Linked DNA regions of Tribolium castaneum. The protein of the gene in region 2 purifies or fractionates together with the protein of the main gene of each other region. This does not show direct contact. Links are inferred from orthologs where the notes say so. Each region holds a gene or a part of one and is shown on either strand. Other genes may lie near its edges.

The links.
Region 1: the proteins of Atac2 (region 2) and Sgf29 purify together in Drosophila melanogaster (affinity purification with mass spectrometry; 5 studies listed by BioGRID). This does not show direct contact. The link is inferred for Tribolium castaneum from reciprocal best matches to the Drosophila melanogaster genes Atac2 and Sgf29.
Region 3: the proteins of Atac2 (region 2) and NC2beta purify together in Drosophila melanogaster (affinity purification with mass spectrometry; 4 studies listed by BioGRID). This does not show direct contact. The link is inferred for Tribolium castaneum from reciprocal best matches to the Drosophila melanogaster genes Atac2 and NC2beta.
Region 4: the proteins of Atac2 (region 2) and Mocs2B purify together in Drosophila melanogaster (affinity purification with mass spectrometry; 4 studies listed by BioGRID, with this or other methods). This does not show direct contact. The link is inferred for Tribolium castaneum from reciprocal best matches to the Drosophila melanogaster genes Atac2 and Mocs2B.
Region 5: the proteins of Atac2 (region 2) and Atac1 purify together in Drosophila melanogaster (affinity purification with mass spectrometry; 4 studies listed by BioGRID). This does not show direct contact. The link is inferred for Tribolium castaneum from reciprocal best matches to the Drosophila melanogaster genes Atac2 and Atac1.
Region 6: the proteins of Atac2 (region 2) and wds purify together in Drosophila melanogaster (affinity purification with mass spectrometry; 4 studies listed by BioGRID). This does not show direct contact. The link is inferred for Tribolium castaneum from reciprocal best matches to the Drosophila melanogaster genes Atac2 and wds.

What each region holds. Positions count from the first base shown.
Region 1 is NC_087396.1:14,033,249-14,037,527, forward strand, and holds Sgf29 (SAGA-associated factor 29), read right to left. Parts: upstream 2,801-4,279; 5' UTR 2,523-2,800; intron 2,474-2,522; 5' UTR 2,371-2,473; coding exon 2,200-2,370; intron 1,745-2,199; coding exon 1,225-1,744; intron 375-1,224; coding exon 190-374; 3' UTR 103-189; downstream 1-102. UniProt on the Drosophila melanogaster protein: Component of both the SAGA and CHAT histone acetyltransferase complexes, which both predominantly acetylate histone H3.
Region 2 is NC_087396.1:22,635,646-22,639,796, forward strand, and holds Atac2 (cysteine-rich protein 2-binding protein), read left to right. Parts: upstream 1-1,351; 5' UTR 1,352-1,420; coding exon 1,421-1,641; intron 1,642-1,694; coding exon 1,695-1,832; intron 1,833-1,883; coding exon 1,884-2,035; intron 2,036-2,087; coding exon 2,088-2,269; intron 2,270-2,316; coding exon 2,317-2,384; intron 2,385-2,429; coding exon 2,430-2,617; intron 2,618-2,882; coding exon 2,883-3,176; exon of another isoform or gene 3,177-3,221; coding exon 3,222-3,403; exon of another isoform or gene 3,404-3,455; coding exon 3,456-3,626; 3' UTR 3,627-3,703; downstream 3,704-4,151. Other genes in the region: serine/threonine-protein phosphatase 2A regulatory subunit B'' subunit gamma, read left to right, coding at 37-1,304; MrgBP (MRG/MORF4L-binding protein), read right to left, coding at 3,704-4,151.
Region 3 is NC_087398.1:1,910,307-1,912,671, forward strand, and holds NC2beta (protein Dr1), read right to left. Parts: upstream 1,203-2,365; 5' UTR 1,084-1,202; coding exon 843-1,083; intron 796-842; coding exon 524-795; 3' UTR 501-523; downstream 1-500. UniProt on the Drosophila melanogaster protein: Bifunctional basic transcription factor. Activates transcription of DPE (Downstream Promoter Element) containing promoters while repressing transcription of promoters which contain TATA elements.
Region 4 is NC_087396.1:21,505,905-21,509,474, forward strand, and holds Mocs2B (molybdopterin synthase catalytic subunit), read left to right. Parts: upstream 1-1,153; coding exon 1,154-1,398; intron 1,399-1,449; coding exon 1,450-1,631; intron 1,632-1,681; coding exon 1,682-1,939; intron 1,940-2,371; coding exon 2,372-2,589; intron 2,590-2,635; coding exon 2,636-2,746; 3' UTR 2,747-2,783; downstream 2,784-3,570. Other genes in the region: Wdr92 (dynein axonemal assembly factor 10), read right to left, coding at 1-32, 75-358; Mocs2A (molybdopterin synthase sulfur carrier subunit), read left to right, coding at 887-1,144; JNK1/MAPK8-associated membrane protein, read right to left, coding at 2,784-3,070, 3,121-3,290, 3,340-3,552. UniProt on the Drosophila melanogaster protein: Catalytic subunit of the molybdopterin synthase complex, a complex that catalyzes the conversion of precursor Z into molybdopterin.
Region 5 is NC_087394.1:37,104,129-37,107,804, forward strand, and holds Atac1 (ZZ-type zinc finger-containing protein 3), read right to left. Parts: upstream 2,491-3,676; 5' UTR 2,306-2,490; coding exon 2,156-2,305; intron 2,109-2,155; coding exon 1,992-2,108; intron 1,889-1,991; coding exon 1,754-1,888; intron 1,705-1,753; coding exon 1,602-1,704; intron 1,555-1,601; coding exon 1,442-1,554; intron 1,396-1,441; coding exon 1,084-1,395; intron 1,032-1,083; coding exon 579-1,031; 3' UTR 501-578; downstream 1-500. Other genes in the region: beg (probable malonyl-CoA-acyl carrier protein transacylase, mitochondrial), read left to right, coding at 2,687-3,293, 3,348-3,565, 3,613-3,676.
Region 6 is NC_087397.1:5,874,508-5,877,951, reverse strand, and holds wds (WD repeat-containing protein 5), read left to right. Parts: upstream 1-1,403; 5' UTR 1,404-1,601; coding exon 1,602-1,721; intron 1,722-1,770; coding exon 1,771-1,867; intron 1,868-1,911; coding exon 1,912-2,305; intron 2,306-2,351; coding exon 2,352-2,671; intron 2,672-2,715; coding exon 2,716-2,816; 3' UTR 2,817-2,944; downstream 2,945-3,444. Other genes in the region: Droj2 (dnaJ homolog subfamily A member 1), read right to left, coding at 1-152.

The DNA.
Region 1 (4,279 bases), about 8.6 Mb from region 2:
AGTTCCATTTTTTTAAAAGTTAGATTAGAAAATAACAAAAATGTAAAAAAAATTCATGTACATGTAAAGATGAATAATAAATTGGTGAAATATAACACAAAATGAAAGTTTCTCGAATGTTTACTACCCAATAAATTATTCCATAAAACTTGAAGCTTCAGAATCAGACATAGTGTCTGAAAGATAATGTCAGGCTTGCTTTGTCTTCTGTTTTATGGCAATGACGTAGCGTTGGGCCACATACAGGGGCGGGCTGTAGCCTTCAGGATACGCAGCGTCTTCAAACAAAATCTCATATTCATCAGTATGTGTTGCGGGAGGCTTGTTCACAATGCCTTTATAGAAGCAACTCGTAGTTGGGTATAGAGCCATAACTGAAACGCAAAACCAACATTTTAATTTACGTGGTGTCCGGTTATAACGAACTCAGAAAATGTGTCAAAATCCGTTCGTTATATCCGAGGTCATTAGAAGAGATAAATTAACAAAGAGTGTCTTTTTAGCTGTTATTTTTGCTTTATATCATTTGTCAAATAAGACGAAATAAGAAAGAATTGTAAAAAAACATTAATCCTTTGCGAAAAAGTAATAATTTGATAGTTGTGCAAATATTTTAAGGAATGTGAGTAGAGCTCAAAAGAACTCAACTTGCATTATCCGAATATTTGTGGTTTCTGAATTTTCGTCGGCGATGGCGAATAAATTTAAATTTGGCGAGCAATTTTAAACTTTACTAATAAAAATTTTAAACAAATATGATCTCTGAGGAATCTACTACACTGAGTAAAAATTATTAGCAAAAACAGACACAAAAAAACCACGAGACATCCCATAAAATAATTATAAAAATGTAAAAAATTTACATAGATTTTTTTTGTGCTAACATACCACCGAATGTTTCAACACGTTTGTGACATTCATCGGGCAATAATTCCAGAAATACTAGCCGAAACCCTAATAAGTGTATAATCGTTGGATAGCTCTTAATAATCTGTTTCTTTTTACAAAAAAGACCATTGTTCTGCGATTAACAGTTTTAAAAAAAATCGCAAACAGTGTAAAAAATATATCTTAAAAATTATTAAGAATCTGGTCATTTTCTTGACGCCAAGCGATTTCCCAGAGCATTTTACAAAGACAACTTTAAAATAGTTTCAATTTTCCGAAGAGTTTTGCCATAATCGGTGCTTGAAACAGGAGGAAGTTCGTTGTAACTCCACTTACCGACAGTTCCTTGTGGAAACAAGGCCGTTGGATCAGTCTCGGGATTAGCCCGCATTAGGGGTAACGGTACCACATTTCTCTTGCTCAAAGTATGTCGCCGTTTCTGATTCTGCTCCGCCAAAATATCATCAACTTCGTACTTATTTGAGGCGTGATTATAACTGTACACTTCAGCCAATATCCAGTTTTCGCCATCTCCATCAGGAATTTTAACCAAAGCAGCCACCATATCGCCCACTTTTGCCACATAGCCAGAGTCAGCAGGTGTGGCACCACAGAGAGCAGGAGGTTTTTCGTCTATTTTACCGACGAAAAGGGGCAATGTTTGTGCCGAACTCATTAACATCTTCATCCAAGTGCCCCTACGAATCGATTCTTTGTTTCCAGCATGTCTCGTTTGAATTCTCCGTTCGTTCTTAATGTTGCGGATTTCCGCAATTTTTTGAAGAGCTTGACGGAGCAAATCCTCCTCTTGCTCGGCGTGCGAAATTGAGGACTTGTAGAGGCTCTTTAGCTTCATCTACAATATATAATCATTACAGTAATCATATAAACTCTTATTGAATCGAAACAATGGAATTCTTTAAATTCACGTAAACAAAAATATTTACTTGAAACACAATTGAGCTTTAAAAGGTGGTTCAAAGGCGATTTTTTTTAATTTAGCGTTTCCAGGGCACCGTAAGCCGCCAAAGATCAGAAAAATGTCATCAAAGATCTTAAAAGCCATTGTAATTATTTACGTTTTAACAATTTTAACTGTAAGTTGCAGTGAAATCAGTACTTTTATTTGTAGCATAATTATTAGGTAACGATTGCCGCTGAGAACAAGACCGAGGTAAAGGGACCAAATGTCGTTGACACAAAGAAGAAAACAAATCACACTGATACACACATAAAAATGTTGGCCCCAAATTACTGTTATTTTTTCGGAAAATGCCTCAAAATATTTTGCGAATGCCAGAAAATCCACACCTGATAATGTTGGCTGGACTTCTCGTCTTGCCCATTTTGAAACTTAACAATGTTGTTTATTCCTTGTTCACTCTGTTGGCGTTTCTTCTCAATCTCATGAACCGTGTGATAGAGCGACTTCAAGTGCTCCTGAACTTTTTGCGCTGCGATTGCGTCTGCACTAAAGGGCATTTTAATAGTGCAATTAAAATTCACCGCAGAAATATGGGTTCCTGAAGTGCCTGTCTACAAGCACAACGTGGTACCAGCAAAGCAACACTAAAGTGACGAGTACCTGAAACGCCCAAAATAGAGCAAAAGTATACACTTTAGTAATCACTGACTATTCTACACACGGTTCTAGTGGAAATGTTTATTTCAATTAAATCAAAAAACATTGATTTGACTGTTTGATGCACTGCCAGGGAAAAGGGCACAAGTCGCACTGCGGGGGTAACTTTTATGTATTGTACTTTACAATAAACTACTAATTATGGAAATGGTAATTTTTTATCAAAATAACATGCACGTAATTTAAAATACACTTATTTTTGTTTGCCTGTGCTTGACGTTAGCCGTGCAAATAGACTACTTTTTGAAACACACGACCTAATACATATATTCAATTAAACCTACAAAAAATTCACTAATTAGTAATAATTGTGGAATAAAATGCTTGATAATGTTTTTAACATTGCAACGATAATATCACTAAGTTTCCCTTTTTTTCTATATAAGATAATGTTGTGTTAGGATTACTTATCTCTGTGTTGTCACATTGGAACTACGACGGCCTTGAGGCGCTATTTAAAAAATTGCAACTATTTTTTATTTATTTAATTAAATACGTGTTTGTAAACTTGCTACGAGGTTGTGATTGTGAATTTAATTAGTACTTGCGTCTTTAGATTAAAATGAAAAAAATTATTTGCTTATTAATTATGTAACTAACTAATGATATAGAGGTTTTTAATTTAAATATTTCAGGAAAATTCTGGTTTCAAAACGATTTGGGTCTATCTGAAAATTTATTTCATTAAAAAATATCGTGTTATTTAAATTTAGCGCCGCGCTTGTGCAGAGCGTGATGTTTGTAGACGTTTTAGGAATTGACAGGTAGCACAGAACAGAAAGGGTTAAGAAGTGATAATTCCCTAGTAAATCACTGGCAACACGAGAATCCAGCGCCTCTGGTGCTGAAGTGCGTTACTACCACGGTAAAGTGCCACGTTTGAATAAATTCCTTTTATATTGTTTTTTATTATTTTTATCTTACAAGTTTCATTGCAAATTGTTTAAAATAAAAAAATATATTTTCATTTTAAACAAAATGAAAACGTTTTATATTTATTTTAAACAAAATTTGAAATGAAACTTACAAAAAAAGTTGTTTTGGGGTAATAAAACACAGATTTTGTTAACATTTTTATTGTACACTTGAGTAACATAACAAATTAAATTTTTCAAAAAATTAAAGTATTGTATTATTTCTTAATTATACAAAAATTATAAAAAAATTAAATCAGTCAGTGTTGGCATGTTTTGCCTGTCTGCTCGAGACTTAAAACAAAATAAGGTCTGCTTTGCAATGACTTTTACCTTGTCTGTCAGCAAACAGTTGCCCACGCTACGACCACGAGGAGGTACATGCAGTGCACTGACACACTCGAGCGCAAATAAGAAACTTAAAAGTAAATTCTGAAATACCCTAAATAGCGAAAACGCCAAAATTTTGAACTTACAGGATCCTCAATTTTGCAGGCATTCCTCCACAATTCTTGAAGCTTTGGATTCTTAGGGAAGGTGAAGAAATGCTTATTGGACTGTCCTTTGTTGGGAACATAATCACTGGTGCATCCGGGGTATTTGCAGGAATATTTGCGATAACCAGCCATGACTAAAGTTCAGTTGAGTAGTAGAAATCAAAAATCCGTCACTCCAGACCAATGCCTTTAAAATAGAAAGAAACACCAATCAAAAAGATGAGGTTATATTAATAAAATAAGAGATACTTATCTTTTTGGTCGGCGCTCAACACCAGGAATTGACTCACTAACGAACTGTAATCAGAATTTTTGCTTTGATTAAACGATTAAACAAA
Region 2 (4,151 bases):
TCATTTAGTTAAAATTTCGACTGGTAATTTTGCCAGGTGCGAAAAAGTCGCCCCCCGAGTTGGAGCAACAAGAAGACGAGTACTTCCAACACTACATGAAGCAATATTGTGACAAACCACCGAACGAAACCACGGGCATTCCGCGTTTTTACAATAAATTACCGAAAGAAGATGAGCCCCTAAGGCAAAAACTGCGCGAGGAGAGCCGCTCCAATTTACTGAAACGTAAAAGTCAAAACTTGTTGGATAACAACGAATTGAAGGAACTGTGGGTGATTTTGGACCAGAACCAGAGCTACCCCGAGGAACAGTTGATAACGTACTCCGATTATCAGAAGGTGGTCACGCTGGTGGGGCCCAAAGTCAAGCCCTACTTCACTTCGGTCGTGTTTGCGAAGCTCCAACAGGGTGACCCCCAGGGCAGAGTCTCGATCATGTCGCTTTTTAACTACGTGATGCGTAAAGTGTGGCTACAGCAGACCAGGATCGGGTTATCGCTGTATGATAGTACGGGACAGGGTTACTTGACTGAAATCGACTTGGAGAATTATATCACTGAGTTGTTGCCAACTTTGCCGCAACTTGAGGGACTGGAAAAGTCGTTTTATAGTTTTTACGTGTGTACGGCCGTTCGGAAATTTCTGTTTTTCCTCGATGGAGTGCGTGCGGGTCGTGTGCGGATTTTAGACATTTTAGCTTGTTCGTTCCTTGATGATTTACTCGAATTGAGGGACGAGGAGTTGAGTAAAGAGGTGCAGGAACAAAATTGGTTTAGTGCCCCTTCAACGTTACGTATTTACGGACATTATCTAAATCTTGACCGTGATCACAACGGAATGTTGAATAAATCTGAACTTGCGGGTTATGGCTCTGGGACTTTAACGCAGCCCTTTCTAGACCGCGTTTTTCAAACGCTTTTGACTTATTCCGGTGAAATGGACTACAAAACTTATCTAGATCTAGTACTAGCTTTGGAAAATCGTGCCGAACCACAAGCTCTTGCTTTTTTGTTCCGCATCTTAGACATAAATAATCAAGGCTACTTGGACTCTTTCACTTTAAATTATTTTTTCCGAGCGATTCAGGAGCAGATGAGGGCCCATGGGGCCGAAGCTGTGTCCTTTGAGGACGTTAAAGACGAACTGTTTGACATGGTCAGGCCTAAAGATCCGGAAAAAATCACCCTGAATGATTTAATCGCCTGTGGGCAAGGGGACACTTTTGTCAGTATTTTAATCGAGTTTCACCGCTTTTGGGCCTACGAGAATCGAGAGGCCGTCACGGCGGAGCCCTCCCAAGACTGATGTTACAATAAATGCAATTTTACATAATTTTCGTCCATTTTTTTCAAAAACCCGCCATTATGGACGTCAATCACGTGACAATAATCTCGAAGTGAGGTTGTGTTTACAATCCAAAAATGAGCGAAACTTGCAAAATCTGTAAATATTGCACAAATAAATTGGAAGATTGTCTCGACGAAGGCCTAACGTGCAGTTCATGTTCGCAAAGTGTTCATTTGCGGTGTCTCAAAAGTGGTTGTGTGCCTGGGGGGCTTCACGGCGATATTTTTTTCACATTCACTTGTGAGGAATGTTCGGAGGCCGGGTCCGAGTCGTTTGTTAGGGAGAAAATGTCTTGGTAATTAGAAATGTAGTAGGTATTTAGGGCGTTCCGTGGACGAGTTCTTTTAGGTTAAAAGTATTAGTTTTGGCTTTGTATCATTTGCAGTCACGAAGTCCGGGTTTGGGGCGCAAGGGGTACTTCCATTGGAGGAACCACATAGCGTCACTAATCGACAAAAACTGGGAGAGTCTGTTTTTGAAGGATTTGTAAGTTCCAACATTTGATTATCACATATTTGTAATTGTTGGTTTTTGTAGTAAAAAGAAAAAAAAATGGGTTGGGACCGTTGCTGGGACTTTATCGCACTTCAGTACGTATTTTTTCAAGTCGGGGACTTCGGTCGTTAATGAACCGGCTTGGTGGGCCCTCACCTACCCCAAACTCACCCCTAACGTAATTTCAAATTTATGTAATTGAGTGAAATAATAATTAAAAAATCAGGAGTGAAAGTATAATTCCAGATGCTGCTCTCACGAACGAGAAGCAAAAAACGAAAATTTTAAAAATATCAGTCTCAGACACTGAATTATTCACACAAATTTTACACAAAAACATCAAAGACGATGATTTGCTAACGCCTTTATTCACTGTCGATGTTCCCAACTTTTCGGAAAAAAATCCAGACGATGAAACCAATAAAAAGGTACAATTTGTTACGTTTTGAACTTACAAATCATCCATTGTTTGTAGATTACTAAAAACTTTACCGTAAATAAAAGAAAAAGTCTTTTACCAACATTTGAGAGCACGTCCAAAAAGTAAGTTTTTCTGTTCAAAGTCACAACATAACAATGCAATTCTAGACTCTTAAAAATGAATAAAAACTCGCCGGTTTTTTCAAACTTAGGTGATGAATTAACGCCAACTTATCTCAAACAAAACGAGCGAAATTTGGGCGAAGCTCAGCCACGTAATAAGCCCCCAAGTGAGCAAAATAAGGAGTCTGTGAAATTGCTCGACCCGTTTTGTCACTACAACACTTGCTTTAGCAGTAAGTCAAGTGAGAGGTGTGCAGGACTAAAGCTAGGAGGCAAGACGAGATTTTTGTAAATATTGTAAAGATTCTGATTTATTGAAAAAGTTGAGAAATTAAGTTAAGTTAAGAAAGGTCATAATTGAATAAAAAAATCTGCCCAAGTACCAATTCCAAAAGGTTATTTTGCGCTTAAAATTTGCTCGATTTTTCGTCATGCCACCAAATATTTTGGTCCCCCATAGTCCCAGGGCTTAAGAATTTACTCCAAAAATAATTTTAGACGCGTTTAGGCAGAAAGGAAGCGAAATGAGAGTCAGGTTGATGGGTGGTATCAGAAAAGAACTAATTCTCTCACCTTACAGCAGCATTTATTTAAAACCTTACATACGAAGAGATACAGAAACTTATCCATCCTGGCTACGCCTAATGGCCGAGATACAAATGAAAGCAAACGAAAAAACACAAAATTACGTTCTACCTCCAAGGGCCCCTATTGACTACACCTACGTCCAACCTGAGCACATACCTGCCATTAACAGTCTCTGCAACAACTTTTTTTGGCCAGGAATCGATCGTAAGTGTCCGAAATGTTACAACACAATTTAATTTTTTGTTGCAGTAACTGAAAGTTTGCAATATCCGGATTTTAGTTGCGTAGTTTTGTACAAAAAATTAATAGTGGCGTTTGCGTTCCTCGTCCCCAATGTTAAATACACCGAAAATTACGTCTCTTTTATTTTTACACGGCCAGGATGGCGAAACGTCGGGATTGGAAAGTTCATGTTGTATCACTTAATCCAAGTAATTGAAAAGTCGATTTTTATTAAACTAGTTGGTTAATTAATTATTTCAGACAAGTCTCGGCAAAGATATCACACTACACGTGTCCATCAACAACCCGGCCTTGTTTTTGTACCAAAAGTTCGGTTTTAAGGTGGAAGCAGTCGTTTTGAATTTTTATGATAAGTATTTACGCGAGACAAGCGAATCGAAACATGCGTTTTTCTGCCGCCTTGAGAGGTGATGTTGCTCCGAGTTGCATCGTGTTTTACGTAATTTATTGAGGCACTTTTTATTAATTTTAATAAAGTGAGAAAGAAACTAAATGCGTCGCCTTTTTGTCACTGGTGGTGTGACTGTGATTGGACTAGATTTACCACTCGAACTGGAATCGTCAGGTTTAGAGCTGCCTCTAGTAGGGCGCTTCGTCAGTTTTGGTGTGTCGTCACTTTTCGCTTTTGCCTTGTTTTCCTCCCTTGGTGTACTACTATTACTCTTACCTTTACTTTTACTCTTTTCAGCCTCTTTCTTGATTTCTTTTTTCGCACTCACTGGGGTTTTGTCCTTACTGTCTTTACTATCACGCCTTGGCACCTCCTTACTGCTCCTCACAGGAGTCTTTTCATCTTTTCGCAATTCCTTGAGCGACTTGGGCGTTTCGCGCCCTTTCTGCGCCAATTTCTTGTCCTCTTCCTTCTTCACAATGAGGGAACCGAAGTCGGAATCGGGAAGTGTGAACTCTTTCTCACTATTCGGGAACGGAATCGAC
Region 3 (2,365 bases), on a different chromosome or scaffold from region 2:
TCATTCACATAACCTCAATGTACGGCAGCTTTGCGCCTTTTTGTATCTCTAGTTTGCTTATCAAAAAAACTATTTTTGTATTAAATATAAAAATTGTTCTGCGGTTACGTGCTAAATGGAAATTAAATAACTTTTTTTCTATTAGAAAATGACATTATCTTGGGGATATTTCAATGAAAAAAGTGTTGCCAAGATCAAAACATGGCAAACATGTTACGTTGGCACTTAGTTGGCGCTTAGTTTTAAAGGTTTTTTTTCCATTTATTTAATAATTATTTTTATTACTTAATTATTTACAGGGACTACATTACCAAGACTGTAATAATGAGTGTTTTTCAGCGTTAGGAAATTGGTTATTTTATCCTGTTTAGACTTCGTACGCATAAGATTGCAGATGAATAATTTTCTTGTAAAAAACGTTGGGTCACTATTTATTGAATGTTTGTGGTTGATACAAAGCCTAAATCTAAGATATTAAAAAATAAATGAAAACAATAACAAAATATTTAAAGCGTTTAATAAATCATTCGTAATCATCATCATTGTTTGGTAGAGCCGAAGCTTGGGCTTGTGCCGCAGCTTGTAGTTGCTCCCATTGCTGTTGCTCCACAAAAGCCTGCTCTTGCCTAGCCTTGGCGAACAACTCCTGCTGTTGTCTCAACAACTCCTCTTCTGGTATTCCCAAATTTTCTAACCTTGTGCTCTGTCGCCTGCGTTTCGCTGCAACAGCCTTACAGTCCTTAAGAACAGCTTCAGCTTCGGTTTGATAATCTCCAAAACCCAACTTTTCTAAAGCTGCGAAAAACTTTACTTTTGTGTTGTTTAACAATGATGAAACATACCCATCAAAACGTGTTCCGCATTTATAGTCTTTTTGTCCAATCGATTACATATTTCGTTCGCTTCAGAACTAAGCAAATGGATAAATTCCGTACAACAGTTGAGGATTAATTCCCTTGCTTCATTTGCAACTCGAACTGATGGGACTAACTCCTTTATCATTTTGTTAATGCTAGCCCGAGGCAAAGTCAGCTCATCGTCTTCGGTATTTGTTAAACCACCAGCATTATTTTGATTAGACATTGTAAATTGTTATATTTATCAACAAAAAAGAGATATTTAACCTCAAATAGGGACAGCTGGAACAATTTGACATGTCAAGGATAATGCTGTTAGAGTCCGCGAAATGACAGATCGTCATTTGTGTGAAGACAGCTCCCAAAACCAGCTCCTCGAATTTCCGAAGAGACCCGAACATGAAGCCAGTTTCAGACTAGCAAAATAAGTTTCAGTTTGCTTAGATGTATGTTTGGTTGTCAGCTTTGAAACCGTTTAATAAAATAAAAATCCGAAAAAACACTAAACACCCTCTTAAAAATGACATTTTAAGAAAGTCACTATGCTAATAGCGAAAAACTCAATTATTTACCACAAATTGCTTTTTAATTTTTCCCACTTTTTCACCTAATTTCAATATTTATGGCTCCGCAAATGCATTATTGTAGTTTTCGCCCCATTTCACCCCGAAATCGGTTTTGTCACACAATGCCCTTTTGACCACTAATTCAACAATAAAAAAGACGTTTTTTAAAAATAAAATTATGGCCTTTTAGTTGTCGGAACAATGTTAAAAATTGTTATGTTGCCCAGCTCCGCAAATGCACTGTTGCAGTTTTCGCCCCATTTCACCCCGAAATCGGTTTTGTCACACAATGCCCTTTTGACCACCAATTCAACAATAAAAAAGACGTTTTTTAAAAATAAAATTATGGCCTTTTAGTTGTCGGAACAATGTTAAAAATTGTTATGTTTTCCAGCTCCGCAAATGCACTATTGCAGTTTTCGCCCCATTTCACCCCGAAATCGGTTTTGTCACATAATGCCCTTTTGACCACCAATTCAACAATAAAAAAGACGTTTTTTAAAAATAAAATTATGGCCTTTTAGTTGTCGGAACAATGTTAAAAATTGTTATGTTTTCCAGCTCCGCAAATGCATTATTGCAGTTTTCGCCCCATTTCACCCCGAAATCGGTTTTGTCACATAATGCCCTTTTGACCACCAATTCAACAATAAAAAAGACGTTTTTTAAAAATAAAATTATGGCCTTTTAGTTGTCGGAACAATGTTAAAAATTGTTATGTTTTCCAGCTCCGCAAATGCATTATTGCAGTTTTCGCCCCATTTCACCCCGAAATCGGTTTTGTCACACAATGCCCTTTTGACCACCAATTCAACAATAAAAAAGACGTTTTTTAAAAATAAAATTATGGCCTTTTAGTTGTCGGAACAATGTTAAAAATTGTTATGTTTTCCAGCTCCGCAAATGCACTATTGCAGTTTTCGCCCCATTTCACCCCGAAAT
Region 4 (3,570 bases), about 1.1 Mb from region 2:
TATAAATCGGGATTAAATTCTCCTCCAAATCCCTACGAGACTTAAAAATTTTGGCCAACTTTTGGACGACTTACCAGACTTGTAACCGCCCGCTGAAGTCGCCAGTCGCAAGGTGGCGGTCTCTTAAACTCGAGGCGTGAAACGTGCCGCATTTAAAGTGGTCTTTCTTGCCGAATTCGGCCACTTTTTCGATCCCATCACCACTGATTGAGTAGGTCTCGATAATTCCAGCCCCGTTTGATTTGCCCCCGATTGAGACGAATTTCGCGGAACAGGGGATCCACTTGACGTCGTGGACGGTGTAGTTCAGGGCTTGCTGCACGTGGCAGATTATTTGGGGCCTTTGGAGCGACTCCATAACGTTTGATTGATCAAACAATTGTTGTCATAGCAAAGCGCATTTTCGGGGGCAATAATTGCCCAAGTTTAAATAAAACAAGCTGTTCTCGTTACGTTTTTAATTATTTTGTTTTTTTTTTTCACCCCCGTTATATCCTGCAATGTTCTTTATTTTTGCAGGAAATTAAGCCCTTCGTTAGGGCCTTCGACTGTAAAAAATCATGTTCGGACAAACAGCCATTGGGACCTTTTTTTACGGCTGTAAAAAAACAATTAGCAATACATTTAAGGATTGCTCTAATTAGTCAAATTATTAACTAATTTGTCCAGCAAATTAGGTTTAGAGCATTCTTGTCAGGAAAAAAGGAAACAGCTTCCAAAGCATTCGAAAAAAAGATTTTTAATTGCATTTTATTCGTAAGAAAGTGAGGTTAAAAATTTGACAACTTGCGCTCTAAATATGTCGTTTCAAATATAAACAGAGTAGTGATAAAAGTAATTATTTTGCTTCAATTCGGTGATTATGTAAGCGCAACAACACTATGATATGTTAGTGACCGTCAAAGTGTTGTTTTTCGCTAAATCGAGAGAAATCGTGGGCCAAAAATCCGCCGAACTTGACCTGCCGTCCCCCATCTCCTACAAAAAGCTTTTAGAAACACTCGTCGGCACGTATTTTTTGGCCGAAATTGCCCAAAACATTATTCTCTCCCTCAATGAGGAGTTTTGCGACGTGGAAAGTGTCGAAATTGTGTTAAAACAGGGCGACGAAGTAGCAATAATCCCACCTCTGAGTGGCGGTTAGGGCCCCAAAATGAATTTTTTGAAATTCACCGAAGACAAGCTAAGTGTTGAGGCGTTGACTGATCTAGTCGCCTCGCCGAAATGTGGCGCAGTCTCGGTTTTTATGGGGACCACCAGAGACAGTTTCGGGGAAAAAACCGTCCTTAAATTGGAGTACGAGGCGTACGAAGCCATGGCTTTGAAGTGTCTCGAAAAAGTGTGCGGGGAGATCAGGGCCAAGTGGCCTCAAGTCGAAAATATCGCAATCTATCACAGGTTTGAAAAATTTAAATTGGGGCCAAATTTTGATTTTTTTTTGTTTAACAGACTGGGGGTTGTGGGGGTCAAGGAGGCTAGCATTGTAATTGCAATCGCGTCCCCCCACCGTACCGAGGCGCTGCAAGCCACCGACTGGTGCATCAACAAGGTTAAAGAGAGTGTGCCTATTTGGAAAAAGGAGATTTACGCTGAAACTGAAACTCCTCCACAGTGGAAGGAAAATAAAGAATGTGGGTGGTCAAGTAAATAAAGTCTAAAATTGATTGGCTCTCATTTATAGCCCCCAAACCGAAAAAATTCAAGCTCGAAATCGAGCCCAAAGTCGAAATTCCCAACGTTTCGCCCCATTTGATTCAAATCAAGGCCTCAAACGCGGACTTGAGCAAACGAATCGAGAATTTTATGGAGATGAAGCGAAACGAAATCAACATAAGCAATGTGAGAGAGTTTTGCACAAGTAATCGAAGTTCAGAGTTCACTTGCGCCCGAGTCGATGCGGTTTTGCAAAAACGCAAAGACTCCAATGGCCATTTGCAAGGTTCGTGGCCCTTAAAAAATCACAATTTTACGATTTTTATTCCAATTTTTACAAGTCTGCTAAAAGTATACAACTGCACAGGGTTATTCTATTTGGCACCAGACATTTTTCATTAATGTTTAGAGAACACATTTTTATCTGAAAATAAAAAAATTAACGAAAAAATTAAGACTTTACGGACAGGACACAAATGTGCCGAGCATGACCTCCTTGATGTATGCAGACAACTTCGTTAAAAATAATACATCAAGGAGGCCATGGCGCCGAGTAAAAATTGACTGAAAAAAAAGAGCAAAGAAACTGCACGGTCAACACGAGAAATATATTTTTAACAGACTAACCCTCTATAAATTTAGCAAAAAATGTCGGGGAAAAGTGCTACTTTTCGGACGATTTTCGAAAAACAAGTATTTCAGACTAATTTTTTTGCAGTAAGTCGGGTTTTGAACACTTACCACCGCGACCAAACAAATTCGGACTACCTGACCAAATACATCCCCCAAAACGGCATTGAGGAGCGCCTCCAAAACCTGGAAATCCAACTCAGTTTGACCACCCCAACCCCGAAAAATATCTACACCCGTTTGAAGAAACTAGAAGACCGGATATTGTTCCTTGAAACGATTTCGCCCGAATATATCAATTTTTGGGTAAGCTTTTTGAGAGATTTCCCTCCCTTTTTAGTGAAATTTTTAGGACAAAAGCCACTTAAACAATAGATTTGTGAAGAAGAAGGTTTTCTCAGTTGAGGAAATCGATTCGCTAATTAGCGATTTGGAGCGGAAGGTTCAGGAGGAGAAAAAATAAATCTGTTTTTAGTTTATTATTATTATTAAAAAATAAATTACGTAAATATTGTCGGGTCGGTAAACCTGGCCGTGAAAATGTAAAAAAAAGCCGGCAGTGGGACCAACAGTAGCAACAATGAGTGAAAAGTCGGGTCACTAAGCTGAGTTATTGAAATTAAACCATAGGCGTGTAAACACCAATGGCCCACTAAGATTACCACATTTCTCGGGTCTACAACTGTTGTTATGATGAGTGAGGGAATCGATTGGTTGATTTTGAGGGCAAAGTGATAAGCACACGAAATAACTGACAAAATAACGACCAAAATTGGGAACGCATAATCTGGAACAAAACCAATCAAAAGTGTGATTTTTGGCGCAATCATTACGTACAAAGAAGTCCCCCAATTAGGGCATGGACCACCACCAAAATCGGTATATAGTACATGGCGGCATAAATCGACATTTTGCTCTGCCTTGGAAGGTATTTCCGGCAAACCCATGGCCTTATCAAAAGCATAACAATCAAAGTCAGGGCATAAAAAATAAAAACTAGCGTATACCTAAAACAAAAACACTCAATAAAGTAGTATAATCAATTAGTAGCCCTACAAGGGATACACAGCCTCCTGGGTACAATGCACCCTCTTCTCATAATCCGGGGCCGGATTATGCAACAAAGTGTACCAATCGGCCAAGCTGCGCACTCTGCAGTTCCGCACCTGGAACTCGCCGAACGGGTGCGTGAAAAGCACCGACAAGAGCCCCGAAATGACCACTTCCACCAGCGCAGTCAAGTGTAAAATTAGGACGTCTTTTTTGAAGCTACAACGAACAGTGAAG
Region 5 (3,676 bases), on a different chromosome or scaffold from region 2:
AGTCAAGTTGTCAGTGATACGTTAAATAAATTAGTTGCAGTGAATAAATTAAATTCAACTTGTAGAATTTTGTTTAAAACTGTTTTTCAATGGAATTTAAAAAAAAACTGGAAAGATTTTGCTTAAACTATAGGTAAAAAATTGTAGAATTAAGTCTAAAAAAATCAATAAATTTTAGGAAATTTGTAAAAACAACGGAGGAAATCACTTAATCAGGTCTAGAATGCATTATTTACAAAAAATTATGAGTAAACTCTGAAAATTCGAAATATTTGACCAAAAAAAACACTTTCAATAAATGCGTATTAAAAGCACGCAAAAATTCACAACACGCACTGAATAATATTAAAAAAGTTATGTAAGAATTAAGATAAATGATCAACAAAAAGGTAACTAATTTTTGCAAAGCTGTAAACAAAGTTTTATTCATTGATTTTTGTTACGTTATCACGTCGATTTTCAGGAGAGCTCTGAAGGGTTAAACGAAAAGCTAACATATAAAAAAACTTTTCATTGCAATCACAAATTTACATACAAACAAAGGCAATAAATAAATAAAATCTTCAACAACAAAACGTTCAATCCTTATCAAGCAACAAATTCGAGTGCAAATAATCGTATGAAAGATTTTCAATTTCGCTGAACAAATCGGACCCAAGTCCGTCCACAAACTCGTCATTACCATAATTACCAAACTCCAACTTTGGCATTTCTTCACTTTGATTTTTATTATCAATTTTCTCGCTTTCGTCCATTCCGTTTGCCATCACTTGGTCCTTGACATTATCCGAAATATCGCTCATTTCTTCATCACTTGATTCGTTATTTTGATCCAAACTGCCACTATTTGACTCTGAATCACTTTCAATTTCTCTATCACCACATGCGATTAAATTGTGGTTTAAAGGGTGGCTATTATCGGAATAAATTTGTGTTAAAACACAGTCTGTACAAAAATCAATTGAGTCATTTTTGCAAGTGTTACAATGCCATCTGGTGCCAATTATTGGTTCATCGTTGCAATAATCACACTATAAGAAAATAAATCACCAAAAAATTGGCTAAATTATTATTATTTTTTACTTTAAATCCCACGTGTTGGAAATTAGACCCACTCTCATTCTCCCTAATTTTAACTTTTCGTATCCGTTTTAAAAGTTCCAGCTGTAACTCACTGTCACTTTTTTGGGGCAAAATCTCACTCTCCTGGTGATAAACCGAAGGTATGAGATAATTGGAACTTGTAGAAGGCTGTATCTCATCTGTAATTTTCGAACTAGGTCCAGGAACATTATCCAAGTCATTCATTACTACAGGAACACATAAATCGGGGAAAAAAGTTGTAGGTTTCCATAAATAATGATTGTGACGCTGGTGCTTATGTAATGACGTTCTCTACAAAAAAATAATTTTTTGGTGCCTTAAAATAATGTAAATTCACTTTGTGTTTTTCGGCAGATTTTGGAATTCGGCCAGGAATTGGCAATCCAGCTTTGTACAATTTCACAAAATATTTCTGAATTCGGCTCGTGACTTGCTGAATTGTTCGATTACCTAAGAAAATTTAACCAAGTTTTAATATTTTTCGCCTAATTAATTACCTAAAGCATCAGCGATTTTTTTAAACCGTCTCATTTCAACCGGTTCAGGCGGATAAATTTGGAGCAATTCTTCTAAACGTTTCTGCTCTTCTGTTGTCCATTTCTATAGAATCAAGCAATTTTATTTGAACCGATTTTACAAAATGTGTTACCCCATGTGAAATTTTCGTTTCTTTTTTCGGCGTTTCGGGTTTTTTCTTAACAGTCTCAGAACCGTCTGAATAAATCAATTTGAAACTTTCCTCCGGGATTTTAATATCGTACTTTGACCAGTCAATAACCGGCAACTAAAATGCACCAAATGAACAAAATATTCCTTGCTTTATTAAAAATTATATTTTGTTCTCTAATGTAATTAGGTGAAAAAAATCTCAAAAAAATTGTAATTACTTCAGGCATGCGGTGCATATCTGGCATTCCCAAAGACTCCCCTTTTATAATTTTCTCCAAGACTTTGGCCGGGTCTGCCAGTGCTTCTTTCTTCAATTCTACTGCTTTGTTATAGTCCTGAAGACTTTTTTAATCGAAACGTAACTAAATTCACACAACTTTACCTTTATTGCTTGTTTTCTCTGAGCACACAGAATGAGCAAGTTTTTAAGAACCTCACTATAGTCCTTATTTCCTCTCAAAGCCAAGTGATCCGTTTCGAAATAGTACAAATCTTCTTCAGGATTTATGTCCGATTCTTGCGTATTTGTCATTTTGTTTGTAAAAAATTGACTAGATATTACACAATTCACTCTCGTATAACTTAATTTACAAAAAAATACAAGAAATAAACACTACACACGTGAAATTGACAGCTGACCTGTAACCTTACTTTTGACAACCTTAAACAAGACCAAATTTACGAAAGTGGTTCCGTCCGATCTTCATTTTCGTTAATTTTCCTTAAAGCTAGCTCAAGTAGAGTAGTTTGCATCAGTGGTGATAAATTTGGCGTCTTGGATTAAAGTTTAGATTGGGCGAACAATCGGTCATATGGTCGCAACTTGACATTCGAGGTTAAGTTGAATCATTAAAATGTGTTTTTATTTGAATTAGTTTTGTGTGTTTTGCTTGATTAACAGTTTAATTATACCATGATGTTTACTAAAATTATTACACGAAATTTTCTGAAAGACTGCGATCGTGTTTTGGTAGGGCTTCGCCCCTTCTCCCTGTCCTCAAATCGTAACTGTGATGAGAAAAAAACGCAAGAATCTCCCCTAAAGAAACTCCTCGACGAATCAGCAACCTTTGAAGACTTGCACCCCCAGACACAAGAACAACAATGGGCTACTTTGCCATACCCTCAAGGCACCAAAATTCGCAAACAGGGTGTCTCATTTATCGAAAAACCTAAATATGATCCACGCGAGTCCTCGATAATTTTATTTCCCGGTCAGGGGAGCCAATTTGTCGGTATGTGCAATGACTTGCTCAAGTACCCCATGGCTAGGGATTTGTTTGAGTTAGCGAATTATATTTTAAAGTACGATTTGTTAAAATTGTGTCTTGAGGGTCCCAAAGACAAATTGGACCAAACAAAATATAGTCAACCGGCAATAATGGTCAGTTCTTTAGCGGCAATTGAACGACTGAAAGAGGAGAGACCTAGGGCTATTGAGAGTTGTGTGGGGACAGCAGGGTTCAGTTTGGGGGAAATTACAGCGTTAGTGTTTGCGGGGGCGATTGGTTTTGAGCGAGGTTTATTTTACAACCAGTTGGCAAAAAATTGAATTTTATTTGGAATTTTTTAAGGGTTACGATTGGTGCAAATTCGGGGGGAAGCAATGCAATTGGCTAGTGAGGCGTACAAGGGGGGGATGGTCACAGTAATGTACGGTCCTGACACGAAGTTAAACCAGGCACTAGTCAAAGCCAAGGAATGGGCAACTGATAAAGGCGACTTAATGCCCGAATGTCAAATTGCCAATTATTTGTACCCCCATTGTAAAGTCATCTCGGGGAGCGAATCTGTAATTTTTTTTCTTCATTTTTGTAGTTGTTATGCAGTTAATTGTAGGCGCTTGATTATTTGGAAAAAAATGCCAAAGAATTAAATTTACGTAAAGTTAAAAGACTTGCGG
Region 6 (3,444 bases), on a different chromosome or scaffold from region 2:
GCTTGCGAGATTTGCTTGAACTTCTCCCCTTCATTGGGGTTCTTGTCGGGGTGGTATTTAAGGGCGAGTTTTCGGTAGGCTTTCTTCAGGTCGTCCTGGGTACAGCCGGGCTTAACGCCCAGGATGTCGTAGAATTTCGTCTCTTTTACCATGGTTGTAGTCCTGGAAGAAAGGGAGATGAGGATTTTCGGGGAACAAGGGAAAACTTCAAGTTACCTCAGAAATAATCAATATTTCTGGAACGGGGATTACAACTCGTGGATTTTTTAAGTTTGCACACTGACGCAGCACAAAGCAAAGACTGGTTCTAGAGCGCGTGTTCAGGGATAAAACTCCCAGCCACGAGGTTCTGGAAAATTCGACGAAGAGAAAGGTCGAAGACGTAACGAATGACGAATTCTAGAAATTGACAGGACGCCCTCTGCAGGCCTACTCGAGCTTATTTATTCGAAAAGCGGCGCCATTTAATAGAATTTTTGATTTTAAGTCACGTATTTCACTTAAAAGGTTGTACTATTGTGCCTATTTTTACTTCTTCTTAAAGTAGACGAAGACATAAAGCGATTTCTTCTGAATAACAACAACATTTGCCAAGTTATCATAAAAACAGGATTATTTTTAGACTTGTGGAAATTCTGCGCACAAATATTAATAAAACGGAAACGCAATAACAATTTCGCTGTTACTCGTAATCAGTCAATAAAAAATTATAAAAAACATTAATGGTTTTGACTTTTTGACGTTTTCTAACCCCATTTTTTTTCTAACCTTACTTTTGACAACGATGTGATTTATTAACAAAAAAATGATTTCTGAAGACTTTATTCCCACGAAGGGTTCTCTCAAGAAAAGTACACAATCCATTGATTTTAAGTCGGTGTCTTTTGAATCGTATAAGCCCAAAAAACAGGAAAAAATTGAAATTAGTAATGAAAAGCCCCAGAATAAGAAATCTGAAGATTTCAACATAAGGAGAGCGAAACACGAAATTGTTAAATTTGGAATGTCAGGATTTGACCCGGAAAAGAAGGAAGAAGCAAAAATTCAGTTAGCAATCAAATTAGGTAAACCTTTATTATTATTGTATATGTTCCTTACAAAATATAATTTCTAGGAGCAAAGCCCAAGAAAAATAAGTACAAAAACTATAAATTATTAAAGGAAGAACGGGCGAAACTTAAGCAAGAAGAAAAAACAAAGGCTCAGTTCCAGCAGTTGGGAAAAAACGCAATTGGCAAATCCACAGCTAAAGGAAAAGGTTTTGACCGGAAGCGCAAAAAGGCAAAGGGTGGATTATTAGACGTGTATGGCAAAGTGAATTTGAAAAACGCGACGAAATAAATATTTCCACATTGAATTGTTTTTTATTCAAACCTGACGCCATTTTCTAGTGACTTTTTTTGTCAACCGGCGTTGGCGCATTGACGCTTGTGATGGCGGCTGAATAAAGCAGAAATTGCTTTAAAACTTGTGACAACAATCGCAAAAAACGCTCTTTACCGGGATTTTCGCGGTTTAATTTCAGTGCCAGTGGCTTGTTGCAATTATTCAGGTTAGCAGCTTCACAAGAGTAGCATTTGGAGCACCTGAATCGCCACAAAATGATGCCTTTAGGGGGCACAGCCCCTGTCCATTCTTCGACAAACGTTGCCCCACCGGCCCCTGCCACTAACAACTCCTTGACGCCGACGGGCGGCTCTAACAAGTCCAGCAGTAACCTAGTGCGTAATTTGAACTTGAAAGAGGCGCGGGTTAATAACTGTGTTGCAGAAACCTAACTACACGCTTAAATTCACGCTAGCGGGGCACACCAAGGCGGTGTCCTCCGTTAAATTTAGCCCAAACGGCGAATGGTTGGCTAGTTCTTGTAAGTTTCAAATTGTTAGTACTTTGTCTAACTTTGGTTTTTAGCTGCGGATAAGTTAATTAAGATATGGGGCGCTTACGACGGTAAGTTTGAGAAGACAATATCAGGGCATAAGTTAGGGATAAGTGACGTGGCGTGGTCTAGCGATAGCAGATTACTTGTATCAGCAAGTGATGATAAAACTCTTAAAATCTGGGAATTATCATCAGGGAAGTGCTTGAAGACGTTAAAGGGGCACAGCAATTACGTTTTTTGTTGTAATTTTAACCCACAATCGAATTTAATCGTGTCCGGTTCGTTTGACGAATCTGTAAGAATTTGGGATGTGAGGACTGGAAAGTGTCTAAAGACACTCCCAGCGCACTCAGACCCTGTCAGTGCGGTTCATTTCAACAGAGACGGGTCTCTCATTGTCAGCAGCAGTTACGACGGACTTTGGTAAGTCGAAACTACGCTCGTCCGAAAAGAAATAATAAATTTTTAGTCGTATTTGGGACACAGCGTCCGGGCAGTGTCTGAAGACATTAATTGATGATGATAACCCCCCTGTTTCGTTCGTTAAATTCTCGCCAAACGGCAAATACATCCTAGCAGCGACTTTAGACAACACCCTCAAACTCTGGGATTACGCCAAAGGCAAATGCTTGAAAACTTACTCAGGGCATAAAAATGAGAAATACTGTATTTTTGCAAACTTTTCCGTTACCGGGGGTAAATGGATTGTGAGCGGGTCTGAGGATAATTTGGTCTACATTTGGAATTTGCAAACGAAGGAAATTGTACAAAAATTGCAAGGACACACAGGTAAATCACGCATTGTCCTTATTTTGTGTAATTGATTTTTTCAGATGTGGTGCTATGTACGACTTGCCACCCAACTGAAAATATAATCGCTTCGGCTGCTCTCGAGCACGACAAGACCATAAAGTTATGGAAAAGTGATACTTAATCCAGCTTCTACAATGTTTTCTATGAAAAATAATTTATATTTTTTTATGAGTGGCTAACGATGTAAATTTGATTCAGATTAATGTTAGGCGGTAGGAGTAGCCACAACTAATAAACCTTTGAATTTTTCCCAGTTCCTTTATTACGCAGGGAATGATACGCGTTCCAGTTTCATCATATATTCTCATAAATAAATAACATCACATTTGATCACATGTCATTTCAAAGCAGACAATACACTAGCGTTAAGTACGTTACGTATTTACATCACAGCAAGAGTAAAACATTTACAAATTGTTACACTTCATCAGAAAACTGTGTTTGGTTCTCATGTGGCTTCTGAGGGTGTCAATGCGGCTGTAAGTGGCTGGACAGTAGGGACAGAAGGACCTTTGCGCTGTGTGCGAGTGGAAGTGGTGCCACCGATTGGTCACTTCCTTACTGCAAGCTTTACATTTCCATAAGAGCAAGTTCGAGAGGGACGGCTCAAACATTTCGTTGTAAGTGAGAATGGCGCCCCCATTTTGCTCTGCTGAAACAAATTCGGATTAAATAACACAAAACCAAGCAGTGGAACAAGACTGAAATAAAACGCGGGTTTTTATATACAATTTAATGAAACAATTATT